Linked DNA regions of Notamacropus eugenii. The protein of the gene in region 1 purifies or fractionates together with the protein of each later gene. This does not show direct contact. Links are inferred from orthologs where the notes say so. Each region holds a gene or a part of one and is shown in the gene's direction. Other genes may lie near its edges.

What was found.
Region 2: the proteins of PHF1 (region 1) and EZH2 purify together in Homo sapiens (affinity purification with mass spectrometry; 15 studies listed by BioGRID and IntAct, with this or other methods). This does not show direct contact. The link is inferred for Notamacropus eugenii from reciprocal best matches to the Homo sapiens genes PHF1 and EZH2.
Region 3: the proteins of PHF1 (region 1) and EZH1 purify together in Homo sapiens (affinity purification with mass spectrometry; 5 studies listed by BioGRID and IntAct, with this or other methods). This does not show direct contact. The link is inferred for Notamacropus eugenii from reciprocal best matches to the Homo sapiens genes PHF1 and EZH1.
Region 4: the proteins of PHF1 (region 1) and EED purify together in Homo sapiens (affinity purification with mass spectrometry; 8 studies listed by BioGRID and IntAct, with this or other methods). This does not show direct contact. The link is inferred for Notamacropus eugenii from reciprocal best matches to the Homo sapiens genes PHF1 and EED.

Annotation. Positions count from the first base shown.
Region 1 is NC_092873.1:89,404,898-89,412,873, forward strand, and holds the start of PHF1 (PHD finger protein 1), read left to right. Parts: upstream 1-4,959; 5' UTR 4,960-5,046; intron 5,047-5,421; exon of another isoform or gene 5,422-5,721; intron 5,722-5,830; exon of another isoform or gene 5,831-6,149; intron 6,150-6,552; 5' UTR 6,553-6,567; coding exon 6,568-6,726; intron 6,727-6,861; coding exon 6,862-6,943; intron 6,944-7,062; coding exon 7,063-7,158; intron 7,159-7,341; coding exon 7,342-7,445; intron 7,446-7,582; coding exon 7,583-7,731; intron 7,732-7,918; coding exon 7,919-7,976. Other genes in the region: kinesin-like protein KIFC1, read left to right, coding at 133-267, 558-657, 913-966, 1,210-1,266, 1,484-1,884, 2,330-3,097, 3,322-3,612, 3,707-3,780 and 2 more. UniProt on the Homo sapiens protein: Polycomb group (PcG) that specifically binds histone H3 trimethylated at 'Lys-36' (H3K36me3) and recruits the PRC2 complex. Involved in DNA damage response and is recruited at double-strand breaks (DSBs).
Region 2 is NC_092874.1:98,220,329-98,227,890, forward strand, and holds the start of EZH2 (histone-lysine N-methyltransferase EZH2), read left to right. Parts: upstream 1-4,550; 5' UTR 4,551-4,640; intron 4,641-7,562. UniProt on the Homo sapiens protein: Polycomb group (PcG) protein. Catalytic subunit of the PRC2/EED-EZH2 complex, which methylates 'Lys-9' (H3K9me) and 'Lys-27' (H3K27me) of histone H3, leading to transcriptional repression of the affected target gene.
Region 3 is NC_092873.1:359,237,953-359,245,820, reverse strand, and holds the start of EZH1 (histone-lysine N-methyltransferase EZH1), read left to right. Parts: upstream 1-4,851; 5' UTR 4,852-4,940; coding exon 4,941-4,944; intron 4,945-5,533; exon of another isoform or gene 5,534-6,142; intron 6,143-7,868.
Region 4 is NC_092876.1:115,118,617-115,125,456, reverse strand, and holds the start of EED (polycomb protein EED), read left to right. Parts: upstream 1-3,824; 5' UTR 3,825-4,024; coding exon 4,025-4,138; intron 4,139-6,840. UniProt on the Homo sapiens protein: Polycomb group (PcG) protein. Component of the PRC2/EED-EZH2 complex, which methylates 'Lys-9' and 'Lys-27' of histone H3, leading to transcriptional repression of the affected target gene.

The DNA of each region.
Region 1 (7,976 bases):
GTGTAGTAAGCTTTCAATAGATATTTGCTTCTGATAACAAAAGGGAGGTAGTTAATAGAAATGTGAGGCGGTCAGGAAATGTGGGAGTGGCAGGGAAACCAGGAGGTCTGAGTGGCTTCCTTTTTCTTATAGAAGTTATCACTGATGGAAAAGGGGAACATGGAATTGAAGATGCCCCCGGACAAGGCCTCATCTTCTCAATTGCCTATGCTAGGCCGTGGTACAAAGAGAAGACTAGATAAAGAGAATGCCCCTGAGCCGGAGAAGGTGAGTTGGACTGTAGATATGTGAGAGCCTGGGCAGGGAGAAGAGAGAACTGGATTAGTTGAGAAGGGTGGGGAGCCCCAAGGGGGGTGGGTGGGAAAAAGTTCTCTAAAACTATCCTTTATATATATATTTATTTTTTCCACAGTTAAAGACAATATTCAACATTCTTTTCTTTTTTTAATTTTGAGTTCCAAGTTTTCTCTCTCTCTCCCACCTCCACCTTTCTGAGATGGTACAGTAAACAATTTGATATAGGTTGTACATGAAAACTTTACTTTCTCTTTCCTCAGAAGCGGATTCGAGGTCCTGGAACAGCAGTAACTATTGCCATCTCTCGTCCCAGGGTCTCCACTGTGGCCACTATGCCCAGGGCAAAAAAACAGGAAGCAGGTAAATAAAATACCTGTAGGTTTGACAGATGACAAAAGAATCCAGAGTTTCATCTTTCCTATTTCATGTAATTACATGACCAGAGTAATTCTGTCTTAGGTTATACGTGCAATAGGAGATGAACATGTCTGAGAGGAACGGGTATATTATCTCTTCAGAATAAGAGGTCAGCCCTAGGCTGGCTCTTATATTCTTTCCTGCATAGAAACTGCCCTGAGGATGCTCCCTATCACCTTCTTCCTTATCTCCTCGCAGCCCAGAAGGCTCCCCTAAAAACAGGACCTTGGCATACTACAACGGCCACCACAGGTGAGTAGGCATCAGTAGCTAGATCTCAGGGAAACAAGCACAAGTTGGAAAGGGAAGAATGATGGAGGGATTTGGCTGCCTGTGAATCTGAGCTTGATCTCAGCTCTGCAGCTTATGTCTTAGGTGAACTTTGGCAAGGTAAACCTCTGGACCATAGTTTGCTCTGTAAAATGAAAGAGTCGGTCACTATCAGCTCCAAATTAATTGATGTTATTGAAATTATTATCTCTTATCTTTGTACAGATGTGAAGAATAGGAAGCCAGTCTCTGCAGTCTCTACTGTCTCTGCACCAAAACCTGGTAAGTGGCTAATCTAATCCCTCAGGTTAGGCAATGTACCACTTACAGAGGGAATAGCAGTTGTACTGAGTGCTCTACAAAAACCATTAGCCCATTTCTGTCTCCCCTGTGAGATAAAAAGGAGGGAATGGGAGTTAATGGTGTTTGTTGCTCACTGAAAGGAGAAGAGAAAGGAGCTAGAGTTTTCATTCGCCTTGCTACTCTTTCCCATACCTAGTATCAAGAATGTCCCCTACAAAAACAAGGAAAGGATCTAGCAAGCGTCCAGCCTGGGATGTGAAGGGACAACTGTGTGACTTACGGAAGGAGTTCAGTGCCTGCCAGGTACAGACTGAGGTTCTAACCAGGGAGAACCAGGAACTCAGGAGCCAGTTTGGGCAAGCTGATCAACAAGCCAAAACTCTGGAGGCTGAGAACAAGGTGTTGATTGGGGATCTGACGGAGACTCGGGCCCAAGCTAAGCAAGACCAGCTGGAGCTGGGGAAGTTGAGGGCTCAGGTCCAGGAGCTGGAAGCACTTCTGCATACTCAGAAGGGCCTAGTTCAGTCATTGCAAGAAGAGCGGTTACAGTTGCAAGAAGAACGAAGGGATCTGGCTGCTCGGCTAGAGGTACAGGAGGTGAGTAACGCTTGGGTGGACAAAGCATCGTCCTGTGTGCGTTCACATGGAATTCTTGCTGAGCCTCCGCTGGGGGATGTTTGACCTTCTCCCTTTTACTTGTGTCTTGGAGTGTGTCCTCCCTTCTCAGAGTTTTCATCTGAGCTGAAGGCCCCTTCCCTCACTTTTGAGCTGTGTCTTTCAAGGAATTTCCCTTGCCTCATGCAGTTTCTTGTAGCTTGATTTTGATTTCGTTTTCTCTCCTCTTTCTTGCCATCTGTAATATTCTCCTTGTTCCCTTTCTTCCATTCTATCTATATATCCTTTCCTGTTGTGCCTTACCCCATCTTCATTCTTCCTTCTCATCTCACCAGTTACTCTGTTCCCTCTCACAGTGTCCACTCTTAATACTTCCCTCCATACTTTCTAACCCCTCTTTCTCTCTTACCTCTCTGACCTATGCCAGGCACAACTCCAAGAATCAATGGCAGCTCTGGCCAAAAGTCAGGCAGATTTCACAGCCCAGGCAGACTTGTTGGCCACAAGGACAGAGCATCTGCATGGTCTTGAGATGGAGCGGCGGTATCTGCACAACCAGCTGCAAGAGCTCAAGGGTAACATTCGGGTTTTTTGTCGAGTCCGCCCTGCTCTACCTGGAGAGCCCACACCACCTCCTGGCCTCATCCTTTTTCCTCCTGGGTCTAATGGAGCCTCTGAGCCTTCCACTCGACTCAGTCTTACTCGGCCAAGTGATGATCGATGTAGCATCATAGGAGGGTTACCAAGTGCTCCTGCCCGCTATGACTTCTCCTTTGACCGAGTGTTCCTACCAGGGAGCAAACAGAATGAAGTGTTTGAAGAAGTCTCCCTGCTTGTGCAGTCAGCCCTGGATGGTTACCCTGTGTGCATCTTTGCCTATGGCCAGACAGGCAGTGGCAAGACATTCACGATGGAAGGAGGGCCAGGAGGAGACCCGCAAGTTGAGGGGCTGATCCCAAGAGCTGTAAGGCATCTGTTTTCAGTAGCCCGGAAGCTGGAGGCCCAAGGCTGGAGCTACACCTTTGTGGCTAGCTATGTGGAGATCTACAATGAAACCATCAGGGACCTGTTGGCCTGTGTGGGTGGGGCCCAAAAGTGCCAGGGGACTGAGTATGAGATTCGACTGGCTGGCCCTGGAAGTAAGGAGCTTATTGTCACCAATGCCCAATATGTCCCCGTTTCCTGCGAAGAGGAGGTAGGGAATGAGGTAGACAGAGAGGGGATAAGATCAAGGGACAGGAGAGGAGACTGGGAAGTGGGGGGGTTATAGGAAAGATTTGGGGCTGTGGGAAGTTGTCAGATTAGGTGCAAGGTATTGGGAGTGGGGGAATGTTCTACAAAAACCAAGAGTTGGGGAAAGAATATATGTGTGCTCACTGAGAAGATATTGACAATGGCAGTCTCGCTCTCCCAATTCAGGTGGAATCCCTGCTCCATCTGGCTCGTCAGAATCGGGCAGTGGCTCGAACAGCACAAAACGAGCAGTCATCGCGAAGCCACAGTGTGTTCCAGCTGCAGATTTCAGGGAAGCACATGGGGCAGAACTTACACTGTACAGCCTCTCTCAACCTAATAGATCTGGCTGGGAGTGAAAGACTAGATCCTGGCTTGTCCACTGGCCCTGGAGATCGAGAACGACTGAAGGAGACCCAAGCCATCAACAGCAGCCTCTCTACACTGGGCCTTGTCATCATGGCCCTGAGCAATAAGGTAGGAGCAAGGGAGATTGCAGCCGAGCCGTTTGTTCTGAGATATTAAAATGCTGCCTTGTCCCGTTGTAACCTCCATCTCCCCCACAACCCAGGAGTCGCATGTGCCATACCGGAACAGCAAACTCACGTACCTGCTGCAGAATTCTCTAAGGGGCAGTGCCAAAATGTGAGTAGTAAGAATAGGAACTGATAGACTAGCTTGTTAAGGATGGAAGAAACTTGCAGACTGGCTCTAAGCAACACTAACAGGTGTGAACCAGGGCCGGAGGAATGTCTTGAGAATGTTGCCTTTGTGCTAAACCCCTTCTCCCACCCAGGCTTATGTTTGTGAATATCTCCCCATTGGAAGAAAACTTCTCAGAGTCCCTCAACTCCCTGCGATTTGCCTCCAAGGTACAGACATCTCCCATGGGTCCTTTGTTTTTCACTTCTGTCCTGTCAGTCCCTGGCTCTTTGAGGGTGTGCCCCTCCCCCTTTGCTGTTTGCCAGTTAGGCTCACTATAGCTCTCCTCTTTCCCCGGGCTAGAGTGTCTGGATACCTGCTTCCAGATTTCCTTAGGAGGTCTGGAAGGGTTGTATCCATCCCAAAGGAATTGTTCTGGTGCTGACACAGGCATCTCTTCTTTTCCTCTCCCAGGTAAACCAGTGTGTTATTGGCACTGCTCGAGCCAACAAGAAATAGAAGGGCCATCTTTGGTGTCCTGCGTGTATGTGGTTTTTATGTATGTTTAAGGGGATATTTTTAATTAGAGTGGTAACTGAGTTTATATAACTAGGTGAATATAACCATGTATCACAAAATAAAATTATCTTAGCACATGTTCTCGGTGATTTTATGTGTTGGTTACTTTTGCTGAATTGCCCTCCCCTTGTTCTTTAAGAACTGATGCCCAAGAAGGGATGTATTTGGAAATGCAGGCAAAGGGCCCTTAAGAAATGGCTTTCTTCGACCACTTTCCCGGGAAGTTTCTTTCTGGAAAGCTGGGGTAAGGGGCCGAGCGATTTGGCCAGGGATCTCCTGGTGCCGCCCTTGGCACCGTCCCCGTCTGTCCGTCACTCGGAAGGTCCGCGGCGCGCTCGGGGCTGGCAGCTCCGGCCTGGGCCGCGGCGGGCCGGGCTGACCGCTCGGACGATGCATGACTCAACGCCCGCTCCCGCTGGAGCGCCCCATTCAAACGGCCCGGGCCCCGCCCCGTTTCCTTTCCATTGGCTCTGCCTGCGTTAACGCCCCCGGCCCCGGCAATTGTCCGACCGCTCCCCTCCGGCCCTCCTCCTTCCTTACTGCCCCGCGCCTCCCGCCCTCCTGCGCCTGGGGAAGCAGAGCGAGGGAACGCTGCGCCAGCCCCGACGGCCCCGCCCGGCGGGGAGAGGGGGGCGCTCCAGCTCCGCAGGTGCCGCGCGCCAGCGCGGAGCGGAAAGCTGGGGGAGGGAGGTGGGTCCGCGCATGCGCCTTGGCGGGGGAGGCTGGGTGGGCAAAACCGGGGGGAAGGGGGCGGGGCCGGTGGGCAATTAGAGGGAGGGGGGTAGGGGCCGCGGGGGGGCCAAAGGTGCGGGAATGGGCTGGTGGGGGCGGCTCCCGGGCAGTTTCGGATTGTGGCGCGAGGCGCGGAGGCCGCGGCGGGGGCGGGGCCGGGGCGGGAGCCGAGCAGGGATTCCCTGCCGCCGGGGGCGGGCCGGGGCCACTCGGAGGGATTCCCCGTCGGCCTCGGCGCCTGGGTCCTGGGAGGAGGGCGTGCACCCGGCCCCACCCCACCCCGCGTGGCCCGCCCGGGAGGCGTAGGGGGTGGGGTGAGGTGGTTCCCGCCCCCCTCCCCCCAGCTCCTCCCTCCCTCCCAGGCCTCCCCCCCCCAGTCAGTCCGTCCCTCCCCTCCCTCCCTCCCTCCTCCTCTCCCTCCTCCTGCTGCTGCCGCCGCCGCCGCCGCCGCCGCCGCCGCTGCTTTGGCTGCTGCGTCATACGCCCCAGAGCAGCCGGGACCGAGGGGCCGGGCCCGGGGACCCCCCCAGCCTCTGTCTGCCCCCTCCCCCGGACGCCTGGACATCTCGACCCCCGCCCCGGCCCCCCCACGGCTCCCCCTCCCCAGCTCCCCGGCGGCCGCAGCTGTCACCGGTAAGGAGGAGGCGGAGAGGGCGGGGGGCCGAAGGAGTACTGGGAGGGGGGGGGGCCAGGCGGGGGAGCCCCCCTCCCCCGGGAGAGGCGTTGGCGCTAGGTGGGGGAGGGGTCCTTCTCTGGCTCCCCTCCACCCTCTCGTCTCCCCCCACCCAGCCTTTCCAATCACATGCATGCAGAGACCCCCTTTTGCAAGGGGGCTGCCTCACGTCACCTCCAGGTTTGCCCCATCTCGGGGAGTAGAGATTGGGACCGGGACACGCCCCCCTCCCTAGCTACACGGGAAGTTATCCGCCCCACCCCCACACCCCTGGGTTAGAGAACCTCAGATTGGAGTGGGACTCAAGATAATCCAGGAATAGGAAGATTCTTCAGCATGGATCGGAGGGAATCTCATTACTGAGGACCCCCTTCCCCCCGAAAAGCAGGTTGTCTGAACTCTGACATCTCTGGACAGGGAAATTCCAAGATGAAGCCAGCCAGGATGTAGGGGTGGGACTAGGACCTAAGGGGAGGCCTCTTTCTCCAATCCATCATCCTCTTAAAATCCTTGAACCAAGAGAGAAACTCCCTGAGAGAACCAATCCCTGGAGGAATCTTGGGGGTGGGAGACTAAGAATCAGGTGTCTGTGCTCCCTCTCCCTCGAATCTTAGAAACCCCCTCAGTGCGGGTCTGAAAGAGAAGACTATGGGCTTTTGTGATATCGAACTGGGGAAGCAAGGAGAAAGCTGGAATCTTGAATATTTTGAGTCCCCTTGGGGGAGCCAAGCAGGAAGAGGTGATTGCTGTTGGGGGTGGGGAAGGTAACTCTTCCCCCCTTGTCCTACCAGGCTCCCCAGGATGCAATGGCGCAGCCCTCCCGGCTGAGCCGCTCTGCTGCCCCCCAACCCTGGGAGCCCACTCCCCCAGCCCCTTCCCCAGGTACCAGACCCCGGCTTTGGGAGGGACAAGATGTTCTGGCCAGATGGACTGATGGACTCCTTTACCTGGGAACTATCAAGAAGGTGAGATCTAAACCTCTGACCTCAACCTCAACCCCACTTTTCTCCTGAAACATTAACTTTAGTATTCCCTTTCCATCCTCTTGACTCAAATCAAATGTCCCTTTCTCAGCATTCACCTCCTTTTCTCTCTCCCAGGTGGATAGTGCTCGGGAGGTCTGTCTAGTACAGTTTGAAGATGACTCCCAGTTTCTTGTTCTATGGAAAGACATTAGCCCTGGTGAGATGCAAGGGAGCTTGGTCCCTAAAAAGAAGCAGGGACTGGGGGACAGAAGCTTGGCTCTTAAGAATAATGGGGCTAGAGCCTTACAGTCCTTATCTCTCTTTTCTGTTTCATAGCTGCCCTCCCTGGAGAAGAGCTCCTGTGCTGCGTCTGTCGATCTGAGTCTGTGGTCCCTGGGAACCGGCTGGTCAGCTGTGAGAAATGTCGACATGGTAAGGAATGACATTTGACCTCTCCCAGCCTATTGGGGAACCACACCTTCACAGTCTATGATTTCTTTTCCATAATTTCCCTTCTTTACCCTTTTCTTGTTATAATCCTGAACCTCTTCCCCCTAGTCATTCTTCCCAATACTTTACCCTCAACCCTCCATGATCCTTCTTCTCACCCCCCAGCATATCACCAGGATTGCCACATTCCAAGAGCCCCAGCCCCTGGAGAAGGAGATGGCCCATCCCCTTGGGTCTGCAGGCAGTGTGTCTTTGCCATCGCTACCAAGGTACCGAAATCACTCCTCCCCATGGTAGATACCACTCACCTCTCTCTATACACTGACCTTCCACCCTACCCCCAAGCTGTCACTTAACTTTTCTCTTTCTTCACCACCAAACTATCTCAATGTGTTTGTCCCTGCAGAGGGGAGGTGCCCTGAAGAAAGGTCCTTACGCACGGGCAATGCTGGGGATGAAGCTGTCTTTGCCATATGGACTGAAGGGCCTGGACTGGGATGCAGGACACCTGAGCAACCGACAGCAGAGTTACTGTTACTGCGGGGGCCCTGGGGAGTGAGTCACAGAAAGAAGGGAAGGAATGGGGAGGCTTTCTGAAGGGGGGGGTGATGCCAGTGAGTCAAGGTAGGTGCTAGGGAGAGATTTGGGGGAAGGGAACCCAGTTGTAGTAATGAAAGTGATGGCAGATGATAGGGTTGTGGAGGCAGAACAACTGCAGGCCTCACCTGGTACTCTCTCTCAGGTGGAACCTAAAGATGCTACAATGTCGGAGTTGCCTCCAGTGGTTTCACGAGGCATGT
Region 2 (7,562 bases), on another chromosome or scaffold:
CTTCTCAACTTTCTTTTATTCTCTTTTGTATGGCTCACTTTTTTTTTCTTTTTTTGGGCACCCCATCACTATTCCCTCCTTTCCCCTGCTATAACTTCCCACCAAAGGAAAAAAAAATCCTTCCCTTGTGATAGATATAAACCAAAACAAATCCATATGTTGGATACATTGAAAAATATATTTCTGTTCCTTTAGTCCATCACCTCTGTTAAGTAGTGGGAAGCATGATTTAACATGGGCCTTCTGGAACCATGACTGGTCAATATAATGATTACAGTTCTTGTCTTTTAGAGCTGTTTTTCTTTACAATATGTTTATGATTATATATTGCTTTCCTGGTTCTACTTACTTCGAATTGTGAGAAAAATGTAATTTTCTTGGTAGTTAACAGCAACATAGGGAGAAACCATTGGATTCCTGTGGTCCCTGAAGCCTAGGGATCAACAAGAAGTTAAAGCTTTGATAAATGGGAGCAAAAAAAGGCAAAAAATGAATTTTGCTTTTTGCTGTTATCTGGAATGATTTGGACAGTGTGAGTCTATTGCAAAGGATGCTTTTCTAGTAACTGCAAGTTCATTTTTATTTTGGGAGACTCTCCATTATCAAAGTATTACTATAAGACCTGTATAAGTTTATGTGGTGAAAGGCATCTGACTCAGTGGACTATTGAGGGGTTGTCCTTGCTAGTAATTCTATATCTGTTTTCTTTCTGAGAAGAACCTAAACCAAAGTATGGTACAATGGACCTTAGGTCCCTGTAGGTAAGAGAGGGGGAGCAGAGTGACAATGTCGACTTAAACTCAATATTTCATTGTTTTTTGTTTCTTTGCATGAGGAATAAAAGCTGTTCTGTACTGGATATATACATTTTTACCTTTTGCACCTATCTGTAGAGATCTAGATACTAATTATATTCAAATTATTTCCATAAAGACTTCCTAATTCTTTGTTATAAGGGATAGTTCTTTGGGAGAGGCTGGGGGTGGGCTGGTGGAGAAGAAAGTTTGAGAAATGAAGGTGATATAAAAACAAATGATATAAGCAAAAATTGGAACTCCCTCCCCCCCTACATATCTATCTTACAAAGATCTCTTATTCGACATCCTTTCAACTTAGGCTGTTACTTTAGGCAAGAGGTGCCTTCTCTCCATTCATACCATAGCATCCTAGTGCATGCCCTCACTGCCTCTTATCTGAACAGTTTATTCCAAAAGTCTAACTAGTTTCCCCACTCCAATCTATTCTCTAAACAGCTGCCAAACTGAGTCCTAAAACACAAGTCTGACCATGTCAACCCCTAGTTTCAGAGGCTCCCTATTGCCTTCCATGCTGCTGGAATTTAAACCTCTTTCCAAAGTGACTACTTTGTTTCACCTCTCACCTTCATGATTTTGTACCAGCTGGCCCCCACACCAGGGATGCTCTTCCTCTAAAGAACCTCTGCCTCTTGGAACATCTAGCTACTTTCAAGGCTCTTACAGATACTCCCTTCCCCTACCCTGAGTATTGTGCTTGTAATCTTAAATTTATCTGTGAGCATGTTGTATCTCCCCAGGATAATGCAAGCTCTGCGAAGGGACAGTCTTACTATCATCTCTTTATTCCCAGCATGGTAGCTAGCACAGAGAAGGTGCTTCATATGTGCTTACTGATTGATGACTAGTTTTTGTTAACTTTTGTTAACTTTGTTAACTTCTTAGCTACGAAAGGAACTGTGAATTGCCAGAAACAGAAATGTTTTGCTTTGAGAAAGTAAAATAACTAGCCTCTGACACAAGCTGTGTGACCAAGGGCTAATCACTTAAACTCTCAGTGTTCCAGGTAACTAAAACTTTTAAGTTATCATGGATGGAGGGAATTCCCAAACCAGGAATGCTCCATATAAATATCACAAATCTAGACCAAAAAACCAAACAAACCCAAATTCCATGAGGCATGATTTTAAAAGACAAATTGCACGGAGACTCATTTTTTATGCTCACTTTATGTAGTCTTAAAACAGTTGTCATACCCTTTACATGACCAAACGTTGATTACAACTCCCACCCCAATACTGTTCTCTTTGCCAATACCTTTGACTCTGGAGCAAAAAAAAAAAAAAGTTCTCCCAAGTCTCCATGTGGAGGGCTCAGAATGCTAGCCAACTCCTCATTTCCTACCAGTTGCACTGTCTGGATCATTATTACACCCCCCCTCTCCAAAAAAAGCTTATCACCAGGTAATTGATCATTATAGAGATTGCATTAGCTTTGGAACTCACATCTCAATACCTTAAATTACTTTCAGTTGGATTGGAGGGCTGAACATTTCCCGCCCCAAATCCCCCATTTACAGAGAGCTCAGAAGCCTACCTAACTCTTCATTTCCCACCAGTGGCATAGCTTGGATTCTACTGTACCATCATGGCCCCACGCTGAACCTTTTCAACCTCCCCACTCAGCTTCCTTTTCTTTTTCATTAGATTATAAGTTCCTTGAGAACAGGGACTGTGTTTGGCACACAGTGGGCACTTAATATTTATTGCCTATTTGTTACTATTTGCTGTATTGCATTGTACATTTCAATAATCCCAAATCTTCAAATCTCCTCCCTACAGGAGACTGCATGTGGTTATGGGTGGGAATAATGATGGTGATGAGTCCCATAGAAATTACAGGGCAAGTCACTAAATGAAGACTTCTGATTTGAATTTTCTAGTATTATCTTTGAACAGGAGGCAACCAGAAAGAATATCATCAGAGGTGCAAGACACAAAAAGGTCCACTAGAAAAAGTGGGCTGGTCATGTGACAAAGGATGAGGGATAACGGATGGAAAGCCCCCAGCTTCTGTTGGCATCCCGATCACAAGATATAGAGGAAGCCTAGAACCTTGGGTGAACCCTGTGCAGGCCATAGATTGCCATGCGATGCATAGGACATGCTACTATACCCTTAGGGGTGAATAGGAATCCATATTCATTTAAGTGTCATCTTTACAAACTGAAAAACAAATTATACGTAATCCTTGTAGTTCTTTATTATACACTTGATCATTGGGGTTTTCTCAATTATAATATTTAGTCCCAGTGTAAGTGGGCAATTCCTATCGAGTTAAATGTATACATATGTAAATTACATATAAATGTATACATACGTGTATAAAACAGCATACATATCAATAAACATTCTAAAAAATGAATTGCCCGTGTCCCTTTAGAAATTTAATTTAAACTACCTTAATGTCTTGGTTAAAAAAACCCCAAGCAAACCACCGAAAAAGTGCAATTCACGCGGTGTACGGTCGGCTTCTGTTCCCGCGTGTGGAGCCGGGTTTTCCTAAGGTCACTAAGGCTTCACAAACCGCCCGCGCGGGGGCCGCTCTCCATTCCGCCCAGCGCATGTGGGCGCTCCACCCGCGGGGCTGGGAGGCCGACACGTGCGCTCGGGCTCGCAGCCACCACACCGCCGAGGCTCTCAAACCCGGGGGCTGGGAACGTCACTGACAGCCTTTCACTTATTTTCTAAGGGCAGCCCCGCGGCCGGAGGCCCGGCAGAGGTAGCGAGCAGCCGGCTCTCGGCCCTGCCGGCGGGAGGGCCCCTAACGGCCGAGCGCCCCAGCGCTCCCCGCCCCAAGCGAGCGCGCTCATTAGTCGGCCCGGCTCCCGCCAGGGCGGGCGGGGAGCGCCGCGCGCCTCGCATGCAAATCAGCGGCAGAGCCCCAGGCGCCGAGCCGCCCCTAGCGGCCGTCAAGCGCAGCCTCCGGCCGGACTCGATCGGAGGCGAGGCGGCGGGCTCCGGAGGCCCCGGGATGCCTGGGCTCGCCCCAACTCCCGGGGTCTCCCGGGGACACTTCACCTCCGCCCGCCCGGGGCCCCGCCTGGCCCAGCCCGCCCCTCGGGAGAGAAAGGAGAAAGAGCGCGGCCGTTAAAACCGTTACCACGCCTTGAGTTTCGAACTGATTCAAACTTGGCCGCCAAGGCCCCTTGAACTACACCTCCCTCCGACGCCCCTCCGACGCCCCTCCTCCCCTCCTCTCCCCTCCCCTGCCCCGCCGGGGCTCGGAGGTGGCTATTCCCGCCAAGATTAGAGCAACATCTCCGTCCTTCCCCGCCCGCCACCCAGATCCTTCCCCTTTCCTCCCCGCCCCTCTCCCGGCCTGGCTCGTCCAGCCGGCCCCTCCTCCCCTCCTCCCCCTGCCGCGTTCGCCCCGCGGCCCATTCGCCTTCCCGATCCGTACCCTGCGTGTAAAACGAGAGAACAAAGGGACGGCGGCGGTAGTTTCGCACGTAAAAACCCCCAGCGTCTCAGGGAGTGTGTGTGTGTATGTGTGCGCGTATATGAGAATATGTGTATGTGTGGATGTGTGCGTACCGTCCGGAGATAAGTATATGCGTGGGGCTGTGGGTCTTCCCGGCGCCTGGGAGCTCGGCGGGCCCTCTGATTGGATGGAAGCCTGCCTCTCGTCCCTCCAATCGGGGCGGCGCTTGATTGTAGTGGGGGGGCCAATGAGAGCGATGGCGATTGGGCTGTCAGGTTTGGCGCTCGGTCCGGTAGCATCCGACACCCACAGGGACAGAGAAAGCAGCGGAGGACCGGTGGCGGCGGCGGCGCGCGGGAGCAGCGCGCGGGGAGCGGCGCGGGCTGGGGAGAGGGAAAGAAGGTAAAGCCACCCGGCCGGCTCCGGCTAGCGGGACGGGCTCAGGAGCCCGAGGAGTTACGGGCGGCGGCGATATTGCTCGTCTCCGGGTATCGCCCCGGAGAGGGGTTCACCCGGCGCCTTCTTTGTATGACCGGGGGGAAGGGATCCCGAAGCTGGGGGGACTGGGGGTCGGCGGCCCGCGCTCGGGGCGGCCGCAGACGCAGGGGATGGAGTGGCCGGGGTGGGGGGAAACGGCCGGGAGAGCGCTGGGTCGCTGTGCTGGGGTGTTTTGTTTGGTTCCCGCCTCACACCACCCGCTCTCCTTTTTCCTTTTCCGCCTGATCCGTCGGGTTCGGGGCTCGGGGCCCCGTCCCGGCCGCCCCAAGTGTCCTTTGTGTGCCGGGCGTCGGGAGAGCTCCGGGCGTGACGGGACGGACACAACTTGGTGGGACCTTGCACTCAGACAAAGGAGAGACTGTGTCTGACGGAGAGAGCCCGGGCATGTGGGAGGGGGCGGCACAAGTTGGGCCCCCAGCTGCGGGCGGGGTTGGGGGGTGTAGGTCGGCGGCGCCGGCCTCAATTTAGGAGAAAGGGCGCCCCTCCTCCCCTTCCCCAGCCCCCGTCCCTACCGGGTCCCCTTCCCCTCCCCCCTCGGAGCTTATAGACCATGCAGCGCTGGCCGCACTTAGCGTGGGACAGCGTGCACGAGGGAGATCTTGAACTCCGAGTCCTCTCCCACAGGAAACAACTTCGAGCACCGTTGGAGAATTCTCCTCCAGCCTTAGGATAGCCCTTCCTCTCCCTCGCACGGGAAAGATTTGGGGCCGTTTTTTAGGTTTCTCTCCCGTGCTCTTTCCGGGCTTCAGAAAGCTAGTCTATTCCTTATGCTTAGTTTGAGGGAAGAGTTGAGTTGTTTTTCCTTCTCTTTTGTTCTCATTGAGTGCTTTCGGTTGAAGTTCGCTTCTTTTTGTTTCTGAAAACTTATCACTTGGGATAGAGTTCTGCTCAGGGACAGGGTGACAAGCTTTTGGAAAACTCTGTAAACTTAATATTGAAAGCAACTTTTCAATCCGTTTACAAATTTCAAGCCGTTTGTTCAACTTCACAATCTGATTTGAGAATGGAGGCAGGTGCTAAAGACTTATTATATACATCCCATATGCCCAGGAGTTGAAATAATGATATTGGCAAATTTGTTTGAGCTCTTTGATTTGAATATGCCAAGGTTAAATGTGACTTTTTAGATCACAGTAGCATTCTTGTTTTAATTGAATTTGTTTGCCATGAAAAATACCCTTTAGTGATTCAGAAATGATTGGGAGTGAAAATGGCTCTGTATATAAATAATTGAATGAATAATGCCTCATAGTTAGGCTAAAAACTTCCTTTGAGTAACTGGAATAAAACCTTGTGTGTTGAACAGTCTGTTAACGAAGCTTATGAAATAAAGATGTTTAATTATCATATTTTTGAGTCGTTTACTTAACTGTTTTAAAGATTGTCCTCACTTTTTTGTGTATATCTTCTTTTTACTTTAGTTAACATTAGTTTAATAATCGATTGCATTATACACCGTTAAGACACCAACATTTAGCTCTGAACATAAAAAGTTTACCAAGTGTAACATTCTTATTTTTACACATGAGGAAATCAAGGCTAAGAGAGTTTGACTTGTTTAAGGTCACACAAAATAGTAAGTGGCTGAGTCAGATTCAGAACCTGGTGTCTCCTGAGGCAAATTGAACACCCTTTCCATTATACCATATTGCCATTCTTTAGCATTTTGATTTTCTTGATTCTTCCCTACAAGGATGGAAAGCAAATCCAAATCCTTTCTTGTTTTTGTGTGTAGGAAAAAACATCTGCCTAGATGCTTTATTCTTGTCAAGTCAACACGTTTTAAGTGCCTACTATGAGCTGGGAACTGTACTAAGACTGGAACAGATATGTAACCCTAGCCATTTTCGTTGTTAATTTATTTGCAAGTATTTATTTTGATATATATTCTAACTATTCATTGCTCCTATAGTTTGACTTCTGGATATATAGTTATCAAAGACATTTCCCATTTGTGTGTGGTGATGTTCTTTGGGATGTAATGTGAAAATGTTAAGGAATATATCTCAAGACATTATATGCTTTTGAAACAAATTTGTGTGTGCAGGAAAGCAGGTTAAATTTAAAGTAAGAATTTTAAATCATATTCTGCTATGTGATGGCCATTGGAAAAAAAAAAGACAACAGATTTCTCTCTAGACTGTTGAGGTAGACTGTTTAAATAAATAAATAATGTTTAAATTTGAGTGATAAAACATTTTAAATTATTTCCTTTTTTAAAAATCCCTTTAATAATTTTGGTCACAAATTTGCCCAGATGAGTCTGTCATACCTCTTTGATGGTCATTTGGATATTTTGAGACCAGAGGTCCCAGTTCTGAATATATAAATAGGTCAGTGTTCTGACAATTCTGTTGTTTCGTGACTGCAGTTGGAATGAAAATACAGATTTAAGATCCATTACATATTGTTATATTACTAGAAAAATTTCAATTAACAGTCAACTCACCAAGCATATATTAAGTACTCATCAAGTACATATTAAACACTTGGGCCTGGTATTGTGATAAGCTCTGGGGATACAAAGAAAGGCAGAAAGCATGATCCCTGTCCTGAAGGAAATAACATCCCAGTGGGGAGACAACATGCAAACAACTAACTGTACATATAATCATATATACCGTGTAAATGGGAAATAATCTTGGAAGGCACAAGCAGTAGAGTGTGGCTGGAAAGCAGTAGAGGGTACTGGAAAGGCTTCTTGTAGAAGGTGGAATTTGAGTTGAGTCTTGAAGTCTGCAAAGAATCACTTTACATATATGATATGATACTATCATTTACTCTGTGAGTAGCTGCCATTATTACGCTTGTTTTTACAAATGAGAA
Region 3 (7,868 bases), about 270 Mb from region 1:
TCCTTTGCTCCACTGTGCTGTGGCCTCTACTACTCCAGAATTCGCCATGAGTTCCTTTTTACCGATGTTCTATGGGTTGTGGGTTCGGAGCTATGTGTATATGCGTCTTTCTACTCCGCCATCTTGGCTCTGCCCCCACCCCCGGAGAAGTTTTAATATATACTTGTAACTATCCTCTAAGACAGTAAATTCATTCATTTAATAAACATGCCAACTACTGTCCTAGGTTCACTGAAGAATAGAAAGATGATGAGAGGTGTCTGTTCTCAAGGAGCTTTGATCTAACAAGGGAAGAAATAACTGCAATAATGTAAATGTTTTACACATTTACACATTTTTTTATTCATTAAAGAATGTGTAAAGAATGTGATGTGTAAAGAATGTGATGAACCACAAGTTCCAAGGAGGGAGAAATTGCTTTTGGATGGGACAACAAGGAACAGTTTCTTTGGTACCATTTGAGCTGAGCTTCAAAGGATGGATGAAGATTTTGATAAATGAAGAAGGAAGAAAAGGTCTATTGCCTTTTGTGGGGAGGGGGGTGGAGAGTGAGAATAGTGTGAACAGGAAAGGCAGCATAGTGTTCAGCAATAGATAAGGGGAAATAAGGTCAATAAATTGGGTTAAACCGTGGAAAACTTTCTATGCTTTTCAAAGAAGTTTAGACTTCATTTTAGGGAGTTTTTTGGAGTTTTTGAATACTGGTTAGAGCTCCACTTTATATTTTTTCATTTCCTTTTTTTATTTTAGTTTTCAACATTCACTTCCATAAATTTTTGAGTTTTAAATTTTCTCCTTCTCCCTTCCTTCCCTCCTCCCCAAGATGGCATGCAATCTCATAAAGGCAGAGCTCCACTTTATCAATCAATAAGCATTTATTAGCCATCTCCTTTATATCAGACACTGTGCTAAACACTTCCCTTCTAAGATTTCACAGTTTAAGGGGGTGTAGGGAAGAGAACAATCAAACATATACAAACAAACTATATATAGGATAAATCAGAAATGGTTAACATAGTGAAGTCACTAGAATTAAGAGTAGTTGGGAAATTTCCTGTAAATGAGATTTTAATTGGGACTTAAAGGAAGCCAGGGAAAGCAGAAAGAGAAATGGAGAGAGAACATTCCAGGCATGGAGGATAGCCAGAGAAAATGCCCATAGCAGAGAGATTGTGTGTCTTGCTCATGGAACAAGAGGCCAGTGTCAATGGGCCATAGGGTATCTGCTGGGGAATAAAGTCTAAGAATACTGAAAAGGTAGGAGGGGGCTAGGTTTTGAAAGGCTTTGTATGACAAACAGAGAATCTTGTATGTGACCTTGGAGGTAAAAGGGAGCCACTACAGTCTATTGAGTAAAGGTGGCAACATGGTGGTAACTGAGCTTTAGTGGTCAAATGGAGGATGAACTGGAATGGGGAGAGACTTGAGTCAGGAAAACCCATCAGCAGGCTGTTGCAATAGCCCAGACAAGAGGTGCGAAGGTTCTGTACTAGTTGATGATGGTGTCAGAGGAGACACGGGGGTATACTGGGGACATGTTGCAAATGTGAAATCAAGAAATCTTGGCAACAGTTTGGATATGGGGTGTGGGTGTGGTGAAAGTCAATGAGGAGTCCAGAATGACTCCTAGATTGTGAGCCTGAAGGATTGGGAGGCTGGGGAAGGTAGGAGGAGGAAGAGTTTAAGGGGAAAAGATAATGAGTTTGGTTTTGGACATGTTGAGTTTAAGATGTCTACTGGACATATAGTTGGAAATGTCTGAAAAGCAGTTGGAGATTTGAGACTGGAGGTCAGCAAAGAGGTTGGGATAGATTAAGAATTATTAATATAGAAGTGGTTATTAAATCCATGAGAGCTGATTTTTTTTAATTTTTAATTTTCACATTAGTCATGTTTTAAAGAAGAATAAGAACCAATGGGAGGAACCATGAGAAAGAAGAAACAAAATAAAATAACAACAACAAAAAAGAGAGAGAGTAAATAGTATGCTTCAATCTGCATGCAGACTCCAGAGTTCTTTCTCTGGATGTAGACAACATTTTCTATCATGAGTCTTTTGGAGTTGTCTTAGATCCACGTATTGTTGAGAAGACCCAGATCTATCAAAGTCAATTATCACACAATGTGACTGTTACTGTATAACAGTGTTCTCCTGATTCTGCTCACTTCACTCAGTATCAATTCATATGTCTTTTCAGGTTTTTCTCAAGTCTGCCTGCTCATGATTTCCCATAGCACAATAGTATTCCGTTACATTCATATACCACAACTTGTTCAGACATTCTCCAATTGATGTGCATTCTCTCCATTTCCAACTCTTGGCCACCACAAAAAGAGCTGCTATAAATATTTTTGTACATGTGGATCCTTTCCCCATTTTTATGATCTCTTTGGGATACAGACCTAGAAGTGGTACTGCTGGGTCAAAGAGTATGCATAGCTTTAAGCCCTTTGGGCATAGTTCCAAACTGTTCTCCAGAACAGTTGGATTAATTCACATCTCCACCAACAATGCATTAGTGTTTCAATTTTCCCACATCTCCAACATTTATCCTGTTTTGTCATGTTAGCCAATCTGATAGGTGTGATGTGGTACTTCAGAGTTGTTTTGATTTGCATCTCTCTAATCAATAGTGATTTAAAACATTTTTTTTCATATGGTAATGGATAGCTTTAAATTCTTCATCTGAAAACTGCCTGTTCATATCCTTTGACTATTTATCTATTGGGGACTGTTTCCATTTTTACTGAGCATGAATGTGAAATCATTCTTTAGGAAGATTAATTTGACAGACCTATTCAGGATGGTTTTTAGAAAGAAAGCTCTTGCTGTAAGCATGTAAATATTTGTAGCTGCTGTGATACTAGAAACAGTAATAGGTTAATGATGCATAGACAACTGCTTTAGTGGAGGTATGGATATGGACTGAACTTGTGATTTTATTGGCATAGGAACTCTGGGGTAGGAAACATCATCCATCAATGCAGATCAGCACATTTTCTGCAATTTATAGTCTTATATCTAGAATTCTATGTATTCATATGCATAACATATAGAAGTCTATATGTTATAATATATGGAATTATATATATATGTATGTATATAGTCTTTCTGCAATTTATAGTCAATATAGAGAATTGCCCTGAGAACTGAGAGGTTTAATGATTTCTGCAGGGTCATGTGTGTGTTCGTCCTTCATTGCTGAAGAAGACCATGCCATCAGAGAAATAATGATATGACTTGCACTTGACTTTGTTTTGAGTGAGGGAGGGCTGTGCAGGTCACCAGCCTCACTTCTCCTCCAGAGCTATCTGAATCCAGTCACCAGATATTCACCAGGATGACTGGAGATGACCCAGGATGAGGTAGTTGGGGTTAAGTGACTTGCTTAATGTCACACAGCTAGTGAACATAAAGTGCCTGAGGTGAGATTTGAACTCCTGCTCCTGCTTTATCCACTGCACCACCTAGCGGCCCCTGAGCACTGAGAGGTTTAATGATTTCTACGGGGTCATACAGCCAAGGGAAAGATTTGGATTCAGGTCTTCAAGTCTTTGATAAGAGCTCCATTATAAAGAGCTTACAAGAGGCATGAGATGAAGTACATAGTGAATGTGTTAAAGAAGGACTTGAACGAATGCATGGATGAATGAATGAAATTTAACCCCTGTCCCAAAGCTGGTTGGTATGGAACTATCTCCTTATTGGTAGAGACAAGGACCCTGCACTTCATGAAGGGCAGGACAAAGCTGAAGAGAGGCAAGACCTTGAGTTCCCAGACAGTCCCTTTTTGGGACTCTCCACAAGAAAGTCCCCTTTGAATCCTTTTTAGGACTTTCCAGGCAAGACTCCCATTTGGGAAACTCTTCAAGCAGCAGTTCCCCTTCTTCAATGGAAAGTCAGGCTGAGCTGCCTTCCAGCTGTGGAAGAAACCAGCCCCACATCAGGTTGCTGAAGGAAAAGATTCTGGGAAGACATGAGAGGAGTTCTTTTTCTCCATTATGTCCCTGTTCTCAGCTTGCTACTCTAGAGACTTCAGGGGAAGTTTTCCTTGGGTGGGATTCAGGATTCTTTCTCGGTTGAGCTGAGTTATTTTTCTCCTAATGGAACAGCTCCCTCATTTTGTATTGTCTGGTATTTATTTTCCCATATATACCTTCTCTAATTTGTTTTGATACTGATTGGGATAAATGGAATTTTTTTTTTGCCATTTGCTATATGTGTTCATTGTATGGAATTGGTATTAGCTGAGCAAGGGGTCGTCAGCCTGGGGACTACCCTCCCCCCCATGACTCCCTCTCCCTGAGGAGAGCAGAGGGGTGGCCGGTGGTCGGTCCCAACCTCCGGCTTCCCCTTCTAGCAGTAATGAAAATCTCCCTTGGAGAAGGGGTGGGGTGGGGAGTAAACGGTAGAGATGGGTAATGTCTTTCCAACCACACACAAGGGTCGCCTTGGATAACCCCTGGCCTCCCCACAAGGGGCCCCTCTACCCAAGTGGGACCCTCTAGTCATATCTGCCCTGGAGCATTTATGAAGCTCTTACTGCATGCAAAGCACAGAAAAGGAAGAAGCCCGTCCCTGCTCTCAAGAGCGCACATGCTACTATCATATCTCGTGTACTGGGTGAAAGCGGGTCTCGGCTACGGGGCACACCTTCGTACCCGGCAGGACCTGCCCATCCTGCTTCCGGCGGTCCAGCCTCTCAAGGCGAGAGTGGGGCTCACGCGCCCGCGCCAGACACCCGAGGTTCGTAAGCACAAAATGAGCACGCGACGAGGAACGCCCGCGCCCAAAAAGAGGCCAGCGCAACCAGCCCCGCATGCGCAGGCGCAGACGATCCTGAGCAAGCGCAGGAAGGAGGGCTGCGCAGGGGGCGGGGCGAGGAGGCTAGTAGGACGCATGCGTCCTGACCACTGGGTTCGCCAGCCTAGGATGGAAGATGAGTGAGTAAACAAGTCCCGGGCCGGGGAGCGGGACTCTGCATGGGGGGGAGCTTGTCGGATGGGACCGAGGGGTCGGGGGTGAAGAGGGGGTAGGGACGTGGGAAGAGGGGGGCAGCCTGCCTGACCGCGTTTGTGGGGAGGCCCCTGGTTCCGGGCTGTGAGGGAGGAAGGAAGATCGCGCGGGTGGGAAGGGGAAAATTCCCTTGGGCTCGAGAGGAGGAGGTGTCTGCCGTCTGGGAGCACCCCCCCGTGGGGGATGGGCCAGGGGAGGCGGGGCCGCGCGAGGTGGGAGGGGGAGGAGAGGTCTGAGGAGGACGGAGGAGAGGTGTGGAGAGTTCACGGAGGGGGATGGGCGGGGCGCGCCAGGTGCGCGGAGGTGTTACAGCCCCAGGGCATCCCCTTGGGAGGGGGGTGGCGTCTGGGAGGGTTGCCGTGGGTTTGGCAGGGAGGGGGTAACTTTAGGAGAAAATCCCTGTACAGCGAGCGAGAGGGGAAAAGTGGGGTGTATGGGGAAACGGGGTTCTTTTAGGGGATAAGGCAGTTTTCTCTGAGGGGCATTCCACTCTGCAGGTTGGGGTGCGTAACAGTAAAAGAGCGTATGCTGGGAATGGACGTACATGTTTAGGCTTTGAATGAAAGTCGGCCTGAAATTCTTAAAGGGTTTGTGTGAGTGTACGAACCCCTTTCTCTCCGTTTGAATGACGACCACCTGATTGTTGGTCCTGCTTATCTCTCGCCAGGATCCTGGGAGTTAGGCGCTGTTATTATCCCCATTATTAAGTGGTTTGCCCAGGGTCATACAGCTGGGGCCAGATTTAAACTCAGGTTTTCCTGATCGCAGAGCCAGTCCTCTAGCTTAACCGGTCTCGCTCAACAAATTTTACGTGCTCTGTGCCAGGTGAGAAGCAGTTTGGCATATAGAGCAGCAGCCTTGGTGTCAGAAAGGCTTGGAGAAGCCCTGCCTCTGACAGTTTGCTGGCTGGGTCATCCTGTTATGCACAAGGCAATATGCTAGTTACTGGCAATCTACATATCCTTATCACCTCAAGACACTAGTACAACAACTTTGTATCCGGAAGAGTAGCAGATTTACATTGGTGGAAGGATCTTTTGTATTGTGTGACTTGACTGTACAAATGAAATAATAACTGCAAATGAAATTATAGGTGTGGATCTTTCCTGTCACCTACACCTACGCGTAAGTATACAAAGCACTCTTCTAGGCATTGAAGATACAAAGACATTAAATGAAAAACAATTCTTGTTCTCAAGAAGCTTCTATTATATAAGGCATACAACATGTAAATAAATAAGTAGGGGAGGACCTTGAATAATTCTCAGGCTAGTATCTTTCCTCTGCACAGCTATCAATATAATCATCCTAAAGAACAGATCATTCTGCTCAAAAATGTTCCCGATACCTCTTGGATAAAATGTACACCCTTAAACCTTATGTTTAATAGCGACTACTATCTGACTTGTCTACTTTTCCAACCACATTTCATCTACTCTACATTAGAGACAAATTGGGCTATTTTTACCTGCTTCTCAAACTCAACATTTCATCTTCTGCTATTGTGTATTCCCACAAACTGTTCCCAGTTCCTGGATATTGATTGGTCCTATACTGTGTCTCTCGGAAGCATCATCTTCCTTCCTTCATATGCAACCATATGAGGTTGCATAGCCTATGTAGAAACCTTACCTGATCTCCCCAAATTATGATTCTTTCCTTCTTTAAATTATGTTGAGTATATATTGTATCCCTTACTAGAATGTTGACTGAGAGCAGGACTGTTTTGCTTTTTTCTTTATAGTCAGTAAACATATTAAGTGCCTATTGTGAGTTGGCACTGTGTATCTTTGGAGATACAAAGAAAAGTTATAACAGGGTCCTTAGCATCAGGTAGTAATTATTGACATAGAAGATATATATACACTGTAACTGCAAGGTAATCCCAGAAGGAAGATACTGAGGTCCCAGAAAGATTTCCTGAAGAAGATGGTATTTGAGTTGAATTTTGAAGGAAGTCAAGAGACAGAGATGAGGAGGGAGAGCATTCCAGACATGGAGCTTCTTCCATGGACAAGGAGGCACAGATTTGGAGGTGGCCTGTTGTCTTTAAGGAATAGCAAATAGGCCAATGTAGCTGAATTCCAGAATGCTTGGAGAAGAGCAGAGTTAAAAAAAAAAACAAAAACTGGCAAAATAGAAAGGGACCAGATTGTGAAGGGCTTTAAGTGCCAAATAGAGGATTTTATTGGGGGGAGAGGGGTGGTTACATGGTCAAACATACACTTTGAGAAAAATCATTTTGGCGGCTGCTTGGAGGATGAGTTGTAATGTGGAGGAACTTGAGACAGCAAAACCTACCAGAAAGCTGTTGTACTAGTGTGTCTTGAGGTGATACGGATACGTACATTTCCAGCAACTAGCACATTGCATTGTGCAGAACAGGAACCTAATGTTTATTAAAGTGGAAGGGTAGGTGAGCCCCTTCCTCAGAGAACTCAGGGTCTACGGTAATTGATTGTAATGGTATGTCCCCATCCCTAGATTTGTTTAGGGAGTCTGTCCTTGCTGATGAATAGTTATATTTTTTCAGGGCTTCAGATGATAAAGGGAAAGATTCTCTATCAGTTTTCTAATCCTTTTGAATACTGTGATCTTAGGCCTTTGTAAGAATTCTTCCCATTTTAAACCCTGGAGAGATTATGGTGGTGGCACTAGAGGGAGTCCTTACACGTGGGAAGATGTATTTATGTTTGGAGGGGAGGCTCTTAACATCCAGGAATGTGCTGTGTACAGAAATGTAATCTTGTTATTGTCAAAACCTGTGCTAGACACCTTTATGAATGGTGTAGGGGAGCCAGCCCTTGCTATTCTCATCTTAAGTAAAGGGGCCAGACTAGATAGAATAAAA
Region 4 (6,840 bases), on another chromosome or scaffold:
TTCCTTCAAGTCCCAACTAAAAGTTTCACCTTTTACTGAAAACCTATCCCTATCTTAATTCTAATGCTGCCCCTCGGTTGATTATTTTAAATTTATCCTGTATGTAGCCTTTTTTTTGTTTTTGGCTGTTTACTTGATGTCTCCCCCATTAGATTGTGAGCTCCTTGGCTATAGCCTTTGCCACAGGGTGTCCACCTAAACCTACTGGGCGTGTGGAGTGCATGGCTTCCTCTCTTTCTCCTAATATCACCAGGATAACAGTACAGTACAGGGGCTGTCCACCAACAATCTTCTGCTAATGCCTTAGGATCAGCCCGTTATCTTTTTCAAGAGTAGTACAATACCCTGGTAAGTGGAAAGGCTGTTAGATCTGGGATCTGAAGACAGGAGTTCAAATATCTGCCTAATGACTGAGTAGTCTTTGGCAAATCATATCACCTTTGTAAGCCTAAGTTTCTTTACTTCAAAATGGAGGAGGGGAGGGTTGGACTAGATAATTTCTTTCAAATCTTCCAAATCAAAACCTATGTACAAAACTTTATATATTCCTCACTGATTTTTCTGCTTTGAAAATGTTGATACAAACTCTTTTCAGCTTCTTGACCTGCCCTTTGGATTACGTACTCATATGAATTCTGCCTTGAAACTGCGAGGTCTTCCTTTAATTTCTCTGATCAAGACTGGGACCATTATTTTCCTTCAGAGGACTCTGCACTTGACAAACTCAATCAATTGTTTTTAATCAGGGTACCTGTCAGAGCTCTACAAACAAAGGACAGATAAGACATGTTCAAAAATAACTTTCATACGTGGCAATATGTAAAAAGATTAAAGCAAGATGCTGTAAAAGCTTAGAAGAGGCAGAGAAACAAGGAAGCAGGATAGGGATGGTAGGGAAGATTTTGCTTATGTTGAGTCTAAGATATCGCTCTGAGACATCCAGTTTGTAATGTCCAATAAGCAGATGGGGATGTGAGACTGGAGCTTGAGAGAGAGATTGAATTTAAGTATAAACATCTCAGAGTCATTTGCATAGAGATGATCATTAAACCCATGGCAAAGGATGAGGTCATCAAATGAAAATGTATTTTAAAGAGAAGGCCCAAGACAGCTTGTAGGAACACAGGTGTCTGGGGTAGGGGGAGAAGGGAAGGAGGGGGATGCCATATGGATGAGAAGCCGGCAAAGGAGGCTGAAAAGGAACAGCCAGAGAGACAGGAAAACCAAGAAAAAAAGTGTCATGGAAATCCAGAGAAGAGAGGGTATACAAGAGGAGAGAGTATTCAAAAATGTTGAGTGCTACAGAGAGGTCAAGAAGGATGGGGACTGAGAAAAGTTCATAAGGTTTGGCAACTTTGGCAAATTTGGAGGGAGCAGCTTCAGTTGAGTGATGAAGTCAGAAACCAGATTGTAAAGGGTTGAGGAATGAATGAAAGGAAAGGAAGTGAAGGCAGTGTGTATAGACAGCTTTTAATCTAGGAGTTTGGCTGAAAAAGAGATCAAAATGATAGCTTAAAGGAATGAATGGTAGCATCTAGGGAAAGCTTTTTCTGGATGAAGGTGATACAGGTACATGCATGGGTTGTTGGCATCAGAGAAGGAACCTGAAGATGGAGGGAGAGGGAGAGGAAGAAGAAGAAGAAGAAGAGAGAGAGAGAGAGAGAGAAACAGAAAAAGGGAGAGATGGAGGGAAGTACAGAGGGAAAAAAAGAATTGGTTGAGATGGGCAAAGTACTAGAGATTTGGAAAAGGGACTGGACTTGTGTAAGGGTAACATCATTATTACAGACTAAATTAAAGTATAAGAGACTGAGGGATGACATCAAGAGGTTTTGAGATGTAAAGGAGAGAATGGGGCCTTAGTTGAGAGCCTGGACTCAGGGAGGGTTTTGAAGAGGGAGAAGGAAGTACAGTAACATTCTAGATTTGAAGGGCTTTTACTGGTGAAGGAAAACGCAGTAATCATTTCAATCAATAAACAAACATTTATTAAGCATTTTCTATATGCTTAATAGGAACAAGTACTGTACTACATACATCCTAGGGATACAAAAAATGAAGTAAAGCAGTCTTTATCCTCCAAAAGCTTACAGTATGGTTGGGGGAAGTAATATATAGATATAAAATTACTAAATTGATGCAAAGTACAATAGGATTGGATACAAGGGGCAGGGAAAGAATAAGGAATATTTTCACATAGAAAATAGCACTTGAGCTGAGTTTTGAATAACACTAGTGATTCTAAGACATGGAGATGAGAAGGGGATGCATTTCAACCATAGAGAACAGTCAGTCTCAAAGTCACCCCTACCCCCAAAAACAAACAAACAAAAAAGCAGGATGGTATATATAAAGAAAGAATGGGTAAGAAGGCCAGTTTGGTCAAACCTAGTAGTATTTGTTGTGGGAAGGGAAATCTATGCAATAAGGTTCGAAAAGGGGTTTGGGGGTCAGATCAGGAAGGAAGGAAATTGGCATTTAGTAAGAGCTTACTATGGTGCCAGGAACCAATTTTGTTGTTCAGTCGTTGGACTTTTCATGGCCCCATTTGGAGTTTTCTTTGCAAAGATACTGGAGTAATTTGCCATTTCCTTCTCTAGTTCTTTTTAAGAATGAGGATACTGAGGCAAACAGGGTTAAGTGTCTTACACAGCTGTTAGGTGTCAGAGGCCAGATTCGACTCAGGAAAGTGAGTTTTCCTGATGCCTCCAGAAGGGACTCTTATCTCCAGACCATCAGGTACCATGCTAAGCATAATTAATATAAGTATTTATACAGCACCACTGTACAATTACAAGCACCCTGGGAGGCAGGTGCTATTATTATCCCCACTTTAGAGCTGAGGAAACCGAGGCACACAGCGGTGAAGCGACTTGCCCGGGGATCACACAGCTGGGAGGTGTCTGAGGCTGGATTTGAATTCAGGTCTTTTGGACTCCGGTCCCAGCGCTCTGTCCGGTGAAGCTCTTTGAACGGTAACTATGAAAGAAACAAGTGATAGCAGGCAAAAAGAAAGGAAGCAAATAAGAGCCTGCAGATTTCCCTAAGGCTGCAGCAAGGAGCGCCAGTGCTTTCCAGATACAACTTCAGCAGGGTAACGATCACTACACCTCTCGCTAAACCAGTGCAGTTTAGGAGGAGGTGGAGCTACTAGCTTTAGGGCGGGGCCAGCGGGGATGGGCGGGGCTCAGTCCAACTGCGGAGACAGTATCATACGACATCCTCGCGCATGCGTGCTCCTTCATAGGTAACTTCCATTTTTTTCGGCGGAGGATCCTAAAGTATCAATACCTCCAGTTATTTACTTCCATTCCAGCATCTGGAGTTAGGTTGCCATAGTCCTTCGACACTCAATGATATGACGACTTCAGTGCCGAAGGCACGACTGCGACCCCTCGCCTCATTTCCCAGGAAGAGAGGCATCTCTTCGTCTCCTTCCCCGCCGTTGGCGGCCCAATGGTCTGGTCCATTCCGGCGGCTCTCAGTCCCCTGAAACCCGTCAGGGGATCCAGGGTTTCGGCCAATTGCTGCTTAAACGGCTTTGGGAGGCGGAAGGGTTGAGGGAGAGTCCCTTCCATTCCCGCCACTCATTTTCGAGGTGGTGGTGAGGAACGGGGCAGAAAGACCAGGGTCTGGAGGGACACGCGGGAAAGAGCTCTTGAAAGCCCGCGGACCCACGACGCCCTTTCGCGTGAACGGAGCCGGGCGGGCGACGGGGGAGTTGGTGGGGGTAGTGGGGTGAGCCGCGGAGGGGCGGGGGGAGCCGCGAGGGGAGGGGAAGCGGAGGCCGCGCGGGCGGGCGCGCGCAAGCGCGCGCCCCTTTTTCAGCAGTGTGGCGGGGCCGCACGCCCGCCCGCCTCGGCGGCTGGGCGCGGTTTGCGACGGTGGGGGGGCCGGAGGAGGCGGCAGTGGTGGAGGAGGCGGCGGCGGCGGCTTTGCGGCCGGCGCGGGCCGGGCTTGCTTGACGGCGGTGTGGCGGAGGCCGCGGCCGCGACGACAGGAGTCCGGGGGCAGGCGCAGGAACATGTCCGAGAGGGAAGTCTCGACAGCGCCGGCGGGAAGCGACATGCCTGCGGCCAAGAAGCAGAAGCTGAGCAGCGACGAGAACAGCAACCCGGACCTGTCCGGGGACGAGAACGTGAGTGGGCGCCTGTGCCGGCGTGGCCCCGCCGTCCGGGCGGGACGAGTGTCATCCCGCGGAAAGGGGGGCGTCGGGAAGCGCGGAGAGCCCCCGGGTGGGGAGGCGATGACGACGTGTCCGACCCCCACCCCTGGGCTCTTTGGGAATATTTCTGTCGTGGGGGAGGGCACCTCACCTGAGTCACCAGTCGCCTCCTCCCCCCACCCCGGCAGGAGGAAGCGCCCGGAGTGCCCGGGTGGGAGCCGGTCGGGGTGATGTAGCGTGGGCGTGCGGCTCTCGGGTGCCGCGGAGGGGAGCGTGGGGCCCGGCGTGCGCTTGACAGGTAGTGCGCCCCCCGGAGCTTTGCCCTCCACCTACCCCCCTCCAGCGCCAGCGTTTTAGTGGGACACACTGGGGCCCAACGAAGTGTAGGGCTGGCCCACGAGGGCGTCCGGGGAGAGGGGACGGTGGTAGAAGGGCTCAGCTCTCTTCGGAAAACTTCAGACCGAGAGCGAGTCGGTGTTGGGGGCGCTGCCCACGCGCCCCTTCCAGTGTGGATGTAGTTCACTTTCTCCGCGCGTGCTCCCATCTCCTGTCTCTGCCTTTGCGCCGACGTACCTTCGGTGCCTGAATGTGCCTCCTTCTCACCTCTACGGCTTAGAATTCTTCTCCTTCCTCCAAGGCTCAGCTCAAGTTCGGCTTCCTACCTGAAGTCTTTTCTGAAGCACCAGCGGGACCCCCGCGCCTTTCCCCAGCTGCTTGTCCTTTCACCTCATCCCATTTTTACTCGTGTATATATATATATACACGCATACATATATAATGCGTATGCTTACATTCATGCATGGATAGACACATCTTACATAGCTAGATTGTAAGCACCTTGAGAGCACAGATTTTAATTATTACTTCTGTATCCCAGCAAATAGCACAGTGCCTGGCACATATTAGGTGTTTAATAAGTTAGTTTATAAATAAATAAATTAATAAATTAGTTTCTTGAAGGATCCTTGGAGGTCATCTAATCCAGCAATCTATCCAATCTATCCATCCAATCCAACCAATCTAATCCTTTTCACAGATGAGGAAACTGAGGCCATGAAGAAGGGAATGATTTGCTTGAGGTTATACATGTTAAGTGGCAGAACTGAGATTTAAATCCAGGTCCATCCCTCTTTCCACTCCTCATTCTAAAGAGAAAGAAGAATCTTTTAAATAAGAGTAGTGAGGAATACTGTGTAATAGAAATCTATAACCTCCAGAGGATCACTGAAAGAAATAGGTGGTTGGGGTCTCTAAGAAGCCACAAAACTTAACATTTGGATTAGCACACCAAAACTTAATCGGGGGGTAAATGATTTGTTCTCCAGACTTCTTATGACAGAGGCAATATGATATAGTGGGATAGAGAGCCAGCCTCAATGCCAAGAAGACCTTGGTTCAATTCCTGGGTCTGTGACATTGTCTGGGTGACCCTAGGCATGTTACTTAATTTCTGTGATTGTGTCAACCTGCTTTGGTAAATGGAGTTTTCTCAGCTGGATATTTACCTGTGGCAGGAAAATCACAGGATAGGCCCTCTTTCTATTCTTGTATTCAGTTTATCTACAATATGTCTCAAAATCATTTTAGTGTTTGTTTTTCAAAGCAACTGATTTTTGTGGTGTTAAGATTCTATTGCTGGTACCATAATGTACTTGATAATCAGACAAATGAGAATCATAGATTTAGAGTTGAAAAGGGGATTCCAGGTCATCTAGTACAATTTTCTTATTTTACAGATGAAAAAAACAGGCTGAAGAGATTAAATGACTTCTCAAGATCACAGAAAAATTTACATCGCGAAACTTGGACTCAGATCTTAAGTTCTCTACTTCCAAGTCCTACACTCCCTGCTCTGTCCTACTGTGCTGAGAGAGCAAAGCTTGTGTTTTACAGATAATTACCTTTATTTTAGACTAAGAAATATTCCAGTTGTACATGTGATTAATTAGTAAGAGATTAATGACCTTTTTTTTGCTTTATCCTGATCTTTTTAAAGAGGACAATGTTAACATTCTCAACTGAGTTAATTTAAAAGAAGTTATTATAAGTATTGGAATCAAACCTAACAGATGTATATATGGAAGAAAAGCTATATGTTAGGGAGATAGGTTAGGGGAAAGAATAATAGAAGAGTGAGGGAAGAGTAGAAATAAAATAATTTTACAATTCTGAGTTGAAGTATTAAAGAAGAAGAAAAAATGCCAGAAATAGTGGAAAGGTATGATAGAAATATCCCAGTAGAAATCTGATGGTGACAGTTGCCTTAATGGAAAACCAGCCCTAATCTATTTAATGAAATGGCAGTGCTTATTTGGAGTTTTATATGAAATATTCAGTACTGTAAATGTTTATTGATAACTTTAAATAAAGGTCTGAATATATGGTAATAGATCCATGAGTATTTTGTGAGTAGTGTACTAAGTTAGCCACAAGGAATTTTTTGTCATTTTAAAACCTTTGAGCTCACAGGAAGTAGAAGGGGAAGCAGTTCTCTCTTTCTTTCTTCCTGTCTCTCTGTCTCTCTCTCTGTCTCTGTCTCTCTCTCTCTCTCTCTCTCTCTCTCTCTCTCTCTCTCTCTCTCTCTCTCTCTCTCTCTCTCTCTACTGCTAATTCAGGGCAGCTAACTGGCACAGTGGATAGACCACTGGCCCCAAAATCAGCAAATCTGAATTCAG